Arabidopsis thaliana: one gene and its partner. The protein of the gene in region 1 interacts with the protein of each later gene in a pairwise test. Each region holds a gene or a part of one and is shown in the gene's direction. Other genes may lie near its edges. The genes, in order: SAC52 and AT5G05800.

Region 1 (4,076 bases):
AACGTTAACATTTTGTGTCAAGCGCAGAACAAATCAGCGTAGATGTAAACAGAGCAGTGCATGTCGGAGATGATGAAGGAGCTGATAAAGGCGGAGCAAACGCCATCGGTATTGCTTGTTGGTGCGCCAAATATACTTTTCATCTTGTTTTTTCCGAGGTTTTTAAATTCTCATCCATCATAACACATAGTGCTTTTTGTTTATCTGTTTTCTTTGAAAATTTAGGTTGTGGGGAGAAGATGTGCAGACATTTTCGGACATACAAAAGCGGATCTTGGTTTCAGAACTCTAAGCTTCAAAGATTTTGTTCTGCAATATTTTTCAGACCCTGTACACACTTACTCAATCAACACTGTAATCTGTCTCTTTAAAAATTTAATTAATAATGAAAAAGCTGCAAACTTGGACAACAAGAATCTAAAATTTAAATCAAATAGATGGATCCACGAGAAGCAAACAAAAAGAAGAAAATGGTGAAAGTTACAATATAGAGATTAAACTCTCGAAATAACAAAAAACACTATCTCCGCAACGATAGGTGCCTATGGAAACTGAATCAACAGATTTGGTTTTGATATCATATATCATCAGCTGTCTACTATTTGATCTAGGACAACACAAAAGCTTATTCTTCTCCAAAATGGCTACTGGTAATGATTGCGTAACACTACGATTCACTATCGAATATATTTGTTCCCAGGTCTTGTTCTCTGAATTGAACGACCATATTATCATTTGTTGGAGAGGTTTACTAACCGATAAGCACAAACGGTTATTCAGGCTGCGTGTGATAATGTTTCTATGATCTGCTTCCGCAAAAGGAGCTTTAGAGATAACTTGAAAAGTTTCGGTGTGGAGATCTAACGCTAAAACTTTAATTTCTTTCTTCCCGGTTAACCAATAAAGCGATCCATCTACATACAGAGCATGCCCCCGAGACGAGGAAGTATTAATCCGATAAGGAGAAGAAGGATTGATATACCTCCAAGTGTTGGTGCTAAAATCAAAAACTTCACATGTAGTAGCGTTTTCTAGGCCAAGTTCGGAAGAGTTATACATAACCAAACCGGTTTGTATATGCCACTGATTTTGTCTTTGCCAAATCCAAATTTAACGTGACTAAAATAACTTGGCTGCTCAAGACAGATTTGTTGCAACCTGGAAACAGGGAAACGTCGATGCCATCGAGTGGCGGGATTATAAACAATGTTGTTTAAGGTTTGGTAATCAAAGAGGCAAACAAGACCGTCACAACTATTGTGGAAAAGTTGGTAAATATGATATCGTTCTGATGATATCAACAACACGTTAGTTTTAAGTGGAGGAGAATCAGCAGTAACATGATGGGGCAACACCAACGTACTGGGTACTTCAGACACCAATACAAGATTTAGATCTTTCCCGCCAGCTGAGCAGATCAACTGTTTCGCCTGGAAATATTGAGATTCGATTGTCAACTTCCATTGTTTGCAAGCAGACTTGAATCTGAGCAGAGATTTCACCGGAACTCTCTCAAGAATATCCTCAACGGTGTCGTGGGGAAGCAATTGCATTATTTCTCTGTCTATTGAGAGGATTTTGTTCTGAGTGATGGATAACATGAAAGATATGCTTATTTGTATCAATTCAATCCAATGTTGATTTTTTCCTTGAGGAGGAAGATAAAAAAAAAAAAACGTATATACAATCGATGGGCCCTAACCCTATCCCTAACAAATCTCTTTAATATGTAATGCGCTTTAATAGTTAAAGCCCATTAGTTAAAAACCCAGAGCTATATTGTTGACCTAGCAAATTTCGGATCTATAAATTGAAGCCATTTTCTAGGTCATTAGTTTTTTCGTCGAGCAGCCGCGCTTTTTGGCCGAGGAAGGATAAAGAGAGACGCCATGGGAAGAAGTAAGTTTCTCTCGATCTCTTGTGACTTCTCTGTCAGGATTTCTGTGTTCTTCCGATTCCTCCATGGATTTAATTAACCAAATGTTCTCTCTTTGTTGCGATTTTGAGATTCTGCGATTCAGTTTTTCTATTCATCGGATAAATGATTAGGTTTATATAGTTTCTCTTTAGATACCAATTGATTGATTAGGTTTTTATATACTGTGATGATTTTGAGCTATATGAGTTTGGTCTGAGCTGAAATCTGAATAATCTGAATATTGATTTAGGACCTGCGAGGTGTTACCGTCAGATCAAGGGTAAGCCATACCCAAAGTCTCGCTACTGTCGTGGTGTGCCAGATCCAAAAATCAGGATCTACGATGTTGGTATGAAGAGGAAGGGTGTTGATGAGTTTCCATTCTGTGTCCATTTGGTGTCATGGGAGAAGGAGAATGTGTCAAGTGAAGCACTTGAAGCTGCCCGTATTGCTTGCAACAAGTACATGGTGAAGTCTGCTGGAAAAGATGCTTTTCATTTGAGGATTAGGGTTCATCCTTTCCATGTTCTCAGGATTAACAAGATGCTTTCGTGTGCTGGAGCTGATAGGCTTCAGACTGGTATGAGAGGTGCTTTTGGTAAAGCTTTGGGTACTTGTGCTCGTGTTGCTATTGGACAGGTTCTTTTGTCTGTTCGTTGCAAGGATGCCCATGGTCACCATGCTCAAGAGGCTCTTCGTCGTGCTAAGTTCAAGTTCCCTGGTCGTCAAAAGATTATTGTCAGCAGGAAATGGTATGTTCAAAGATTGATCCTTGAATCATTTTGTTGTTTGATTGTTTTATGGATACAAGTAAGCTAACTCATCAAGTCTTTGACTTTTTTTTCAGGGGCTTCACGAAGTTTAACAGAGCTGACTTCACCAAGTTGAGGCAAGAGAAGCGTGTTGTCCCTGATGGTGTCAACGCTAAGGTATTATTGGCTTTACATCAGAATTGTCACTCTTTGATCCTATAGCAGTGATAGTTATCATTGGAAATATCATTTGTTGTTGAATTGAACAATGTTTTCGTTTTTTTTTCAGTTCCTCTCATGCCATGGACCTTTGGCTAACCGTCAGCCGGGAAGTGCCTTTTTGCCAGCCCACTACTGAAGAGTATCAGAACTGAAGTATCCTTCTCATTCCGGTGAAGAAGAATTATAATCAGCCTGAATCTTTTTACTTATCGTTATCTCTGGTGTTGTTTTAAGTTTTTAGTTGGACACAATCAGTATTCTGAATCTTTTTGTGACTCTTTTGTTTAAGCTCTGAAATGATTTTGTTCCTTCGTTCTTGGCCATATATCTTTCATTTGCAAGTTTTATCATGGCTTTAGCTTTAAATATTTTAATTGAAGATTTGCTTGAAAATCGTTGAAGTTTTAGATAGAGATGGGTGATTGCCTTGTTGGATCATTTAGTATGCATAAAAGATTTGAAATTAGCATAGCAAGCCCATCTTAGGTATTGTCATGCAAGGCTGAGAGTTCAAAGAGAAAATGACAGAGACCTACCTACACGTCAAAATCAGATGCAAACTGCCATTTTCCTGATTAAGTCTATCTTTGTTTTTTTTACTTTTCAAAGAATTAATTGCCATAATTTCTGAAGAAGGAAGCAAAAATCCCAAAACAGAGAACCAAGAGAAAGGAGAAAAATTGAAAAGTTTATGGTATTACTTGCAAGCAAAAGATCAAGTTATCTTGCAAACAACAACTATAAGATTAAAAGCTCTTTTTCTTCTCTTATCAGAGAATTGAAAGAAGAACACACAAAACACATAATATAGTCTCTTTGCGAAAAAATGAATGAAACGAATATAAACAAAAATTTTAACAAATAGTATAGCAGAACTGAAAAACTCTAGATTCTGAACTTTCTCCACCAAACTTATTACAAGACCTGTTTCTGTTCTTTCCAAGAAACTAACAATACCACCAAGATGATTGTATCCAATTGAATTCAAATAAATTTCTTTTATAACCAAAATTAATAAGAAAAAAAAGACTGCAACTTTCGACATCTCCAACGGCAGGAGAATCATAAAAATCATCTGAAAGTTATTGTTGAAACCCTTTTATCAGCAACCCATCACCGCGCAATTGTAAACAAAATTCGATGAATGTTTCCTACCGAGCAATGTCCATAGAGGCGGACTTCGA
Region 2 (4,936 bases), on another chromosome or scaffold:
CTATACCGGAGTTTTTCCTTCCTCCTACTACTCCTCCACCGTTGTAATATCCTCCTCCGTATCTAGTGATTGCGAAACGCTGCGGGTGGTTTACGTAAACGCTGCCGTTTCGTCGTTTACAGTGTTTGACGTAGAGGAGAAGTAAGAAAGTGAGAGAGAAAAACGCAGTGAGGACGGCGATAACGACTGCGATTCCGGGCATGAGAGAGGAAGTGAAGTTATGCCGTGGCGGTGGAGAAGGCGGAGGAAGTGGCGGTGGAGTATCTGAGGTTGTTATAACAACCGCCGTGTGATTGTCTGCGAGTGAGACATTGAGAAAGAGAGAGAGAGTAGAGAAGAGAAGTATCAAGGAAGAAGAAGACATGGCTTAAAGGCTTCTAGTTGAAAGAGAAGGTCTTTAGACTTAAGAAATGGTTATTTTATTTTCGTATATTTATTTTGAAGTGCCTGAAAATAAGGGAGACACTTTTGTGAGTGTGTGAGATAGGGAGAGAGGTTTTTATAAAAGGGAAAGAAAACAAAGTGAATGAGGACAAAGAGGATGCATTAAAAACATGACTCCCTTCTTTCATCTTTCATGCCTTACAAATTTGATTTTAGGAACTACTATAGTAACCAACATTTTTTATTTCATTTTAAATTGAATTCATTAATGGAAATTAATATATAGGGACACATATCAATGATGATATCTATAGAAATTGTTTTTGGAATTTTCGTACTGATCATAAATTCTGACTCTAAACAAATATAATGGCTAGCACAGAGTCGATAACAGCATAAACTAGAATCAAATCATCAATGCATGTCTCTTAGCCCTTTTCTCTATCAAAACTAAAGACTACATGCCAAACCACCGAAATCATAACCAAACTCTACTTTGGATTGAGGTTTTTTCTCCCATGCTAAAGAGTAAAGACTACATGCATTTTAAGATAATAAATGTTAACATCATAGTCATGTGTCTGCTGCTTTCTCACGATGTCACACTAACGGTTTAGAGAGTGCAATCACATTTTAACCGTTGAGACAAAATGTTTGTTAGAATCTCAACTTTTCAGTCACATTTTCAAGCCATATATATGTCTTCCTAATATATTTTTTTGGTAAAAATCATGTGTTATGCCTCGTTATCTTTCTCTCTCGAAGATTTTCTGTATAACACAAAAAGTAAAGTATACAAGATTTATAACGTGTTAACGCTAATCAGTCCACAAGAAAACCACGAATAGAAAACAAGAAAATACAAAGTCCATAACAGAATAAGCAAAAGAAATCATAAAAAAAAACGAGTAGAAAGCAGTTTGTTCCCTAGTGACGATTTGGGGGAGCTGGAGCTAGCTAGCTATTTCTGTACCATTATTTCTTAAATTTTGGACTAATTTCCATTATTTTTGTATCTGGATTTATACGTTACGGCCCATTTAAAGCAAATGTTATTTATTATTTGGTCGGCACCATTTAAAGCAAATCTTATTGCTGGAGTCCCCTATTAATTTTGGTAATCGTGGTCACCCTCCCCCACAAACTATATCTATACTTATCAATGATGCCGATAGTCACCTAAATATATTTGATTGGAACAATAATCACCTTTTCGATAAACCCATATTCAATTCTCCTAACTCCTTCACATAATCAGCTATAAAAATGTTTCGATAAGAAAGCAAAAAAAACATCTAAGTCGAGCAGAAATTTGAACAAAATCAAGACCGGACCCAACGCAAACCAGTCTCACAGTCTGTGTCCTCTTAACCAATCAGAGTATCTCTTCAAACGGAAACAAATAGTCAGGCAAGAACCGGTGTAATTTATTGGGCTATGACCCATGACCAAAGAACTCGGCCCAGCCCATAACTCTTAGAAAAGCCTTGGAAAATCCGTACAGCGCGGCGCAAACGCAAAAAGCAGAGAAAGAGAGGAAAAATCGCGATCGGCTTCTTCCAGCCACACCCGTCACAGAGTGGCCACTCAATCGCTGTCGCGTTTCCATCAGATTCCCGGTAACGTTTTCCCTTCTTCAGCTTCCCAATTCCCGCCGGCGAAATCCTAACCACTATCGTAGTTTTTCAGTCTCCCGATTAATCGAGTTAGGGTTTCGTGCAATTTTCCCCATTTTCGTGTTCGGTTACTACTGGGATTTTGAAGTAGGCGAAGTCTCAGGTCGCAAAATCATATTTTTCCCTGAAACACGTTTCAAGTAATTGCGTCTGCGTTCTCTGGTTCAATGCCTTGTTTATATGATTTGTGTTCAATATCTAGAATTGTTGGGTTAATGTTTATGCAAATGTCTCTGTCTCTCTGTGCTTTTGTTAAAAACGAGTTCACAATGATAAAGGTATCGTTTTTAATTGTTAGGAGTTTTGGAGAACAGAAGTTAAAAAAGAAATGAGGCCAAAAGCAGTGTGGGAGCCTGAGTATCACAGAGTGTTTGTTGATTTATGTGTGGAGCAAACGATGCTAGGGAATAAACCAGGGACACATTTTTCGAAAGAAGGTTGGAGGAACATATTGATATCGTTTCAGGAGCAAACAGGCGCCATGTACGATAGAATGCAGCTTAAGAACCATTGGGATACAATGAGCAGACAGTGGAAAATATGGCGTAGACTCGTTGAAACTAGTTTTATGAATTGGAACCCTGAGAGCAACAGGTTTCGTGCAACTGATGATGACTGGGCTAACTATTTACAGGTTTACAAATCAAAACCACTTGTTACATTCATTTTTGTTGATTTTATAAAATGCTAAAATGTGATTGCTTTGTGCCGTAGGAGAATCCTGATGCTGGGCAGTATCGGTTGAGTGTTCCGCATGATCTCAAGAAGCTAGAGATTCTCTTTGCGGGTTGTAATGTAGAGGTGAAAAATGATGAAGTCTCGGGTGTAAGGAAGAGGCGAAGAAGTTGTTACGAGGAAGAAGATGAAGATAACCAAAGCATGTGTAGTTCATCTAACCCTCAAACAAAAGGGTATTGGTCTCCGTCTACACATAAGCTGTTTCTTGATCTGTTGGTTCAAGAGACTTTAAAGGGAAATAGACCCGACACTCATTTTAACAAGGAAGGGTGGAAGACGATTCTGGGGACTATTAATGAAAATACCGGCCTTGGTTATACGAGACCGCAGCTGAAAAACCACTGGGATTGCACTAGGAAAGCTTGGAAGATCTGGTGTCAACTCGTTGGAGCAAGTAGCATGAAATGGGATCCTGAATCTCGTAGCTTTGGTGCAACAGAAGAGGAATGGCGAATCTATATTCGGGTATGATAATGTTAGTTGTCTTAACTATTATCCTTCTCCCATTGGACTACATTTTGAACAGATAGTGTTTGTCTTTGGTTTATTACAGGAAAACCCAAGAGCAGGACAATTCCGCCACAAGGAAGTTCCTCATGCTGATCAACTTGCAATCATTTTCAACGGAGTGATAGAACCTGGAGAGACATACACTCCTCCTTCGCGTTCGCGCAAGAAGCTCCTCCACAATCGTTCTGAATCACCACAATGGCGTGACACAACTCCATTATCAAAGATGCACGTAGATGAAGCAGAAACCTCCAGGCAAAATGGTTGTTATGCAGAGTCTCAAGAAGATCGGATAGACAGTGAAAACGCTCAACCATTGGATGATATGAAGTTAATGAATGACGTTATGTTGCAGGAAAGTCCGGTATTCGTTGAGATTGAATCGGCAAAGCCGATGTACAGCATTGGAGAATGCATTAAAAGCCTCAACGCAATTGAAGAGGTCGAACAAGGTAGTGAGCTCTACATGTTTGCGTTGGACCTGTTTCTGAAGAGAGAGTATAGAGAGATCTTCTTAGAGCTGAAGAAGCCCAGTTTGAGAATCGCATGGTTGCAGAGACTTCAATCTACTTCATTTCCTATTCCTACTACAACATAGGTTCAAGTGTATTTTACAAGCCATCCTTTTTGTACTCTGACCTCTGTCTCTGTCTGATGTTATACCCAAAAGAATCGTTCTTTGTTAGTTCTATGAATATGGATTATATAAAAACAGACAGGTAGAGAATCATGTTGATGAACCTTTGAATTGCCTAATTCTTAAGTGGTTTGTGTTAGAATTGTTCTCACTTTCATTCATTAGGAGAAGATATTTAGCATTTAGTTCTATGCATATTACGAGAGAGCAGAACAAGGTTTGGGACACCGACAACAATGGAGTGTGTGAAAGGGGCTTTTGAGTGAGAGTTGATGATTAGAATCTTTTTTGAATTAAAAAGTAGATAAAGCGAGTGACGACAAAAAACAGTACCCAAAGTGGGCAAAAAAAGGTTTAGTCGCATCCCAATAATTAATTACCCCTTTAAGGTTAAGGAGTAATTTTCTAAAAAGTAAGAAACTAAAATTAACGCGCCAGGTAGGGGTCGAACCTACGACCTTCTGCTTAGGAAACAGACGCTCTATCCACTGAGCTACAGGCGCTTCTGCATTTATTATATTTATTCTTTCTTTTTCAATCTTGTTTTTGTGGCGGCTTATGAAATTTCGTAGAAGTATCATTTTCAAGTGGTACGAAATACAAAAAAAGACATAAAGAATAAAGTGTCGTTAAGTTTAAGCTTACGTGTTATCTCGAATAACATTAATTAAGTTACATCTATAAACAATTTGTAGCAATCGCATTGTTTTTGTTAAGTAAAGCAATCGCATTGTTTTTGGTTTTTTTTAGTAAATTTGAAGTTTTTCTCCTTATTTTATGTGTGTTTTATGATTAGTTAAGCCTTAGACATAGCCGACGTATAACACGTAAACTATCATTAAGTATGAACAACTTTATGTGTTGTCGCTTTTATTTTGAATAATATTAGAGAAAAACTACCTAACAAAAAAAAACGGTGTATACTAGTGGTTATTAAAATTTTGGAAAGATATGAAATGTTGGCCTAGCTAGTAGCTAGTTAGAATTTTAT

The links.
Region 2: the proteins of SAC52 (region 1) and AT5G05800 interact in binary tests that used the Arabidopsis thaliana proteins (3 or more experiments, as listed by UniProt).

The regions. Positions count from the first base shown.
Region 1 is NC_003070.9:4,886,381-4,890,456, forward strand, and holds SAC52 (Ribosomal protein L16p/L10e family protein), read left to right. Parts: upstream 1-1,733; 5' UTR 1,734-1,889; coding exon 1,890-1,899; exon of another isoform or gene 1,900-2,049; intron 2,050-2,168; coding exon 2,169-2,670; intron 2,671-2,765; coding exon 2,766-2,847; intron 2,848-2,959; coding exon 2,960-3,028; 3' UTR 3,029-3,324; downstream 3,325-4,076. Other genes in the region: AT1G14310 (Haloacid dehalogenase-like hydrolase (HAD) superfamily protein), read left to right, coding at 28-121, 226-292; AT1G14315 (F-box and associated interaction domains-containing protein), read right to left, coding at 481-997, 1,159-1,553; AT1G14330 (Galactose oxidase/kelch repeat superfamily protein), read right to left, coding at 3,995-4,076.
Region 2 is NC_003076.8:1,742,204-1,747,139, reverse strand, and holds AT5G05800 (Myb/SANT-like DNA-binding domain protein), read left to right. Parts: upstream 1-1,894; 5' UTR 1,895-2,003; exon of another isoform or gene 2,004-2,358; 5' UTR 2,359-2,388; coding exon 2,389-2,694; intron 2,695-2,774; coding exon 2,775-3,263; intron 3,264-3,351; coding exon 3,352-3,906; 3' UTR 3,907-4,146; downstream 4,147-4,936. Other genes in the region: ATL43 (RING/U-box superfamily protein), read right to left, coding at 1-364. UniProt on the Arabidopsis thaliana protein: Transcriptional repressor that associates with ribosomal protein promoters.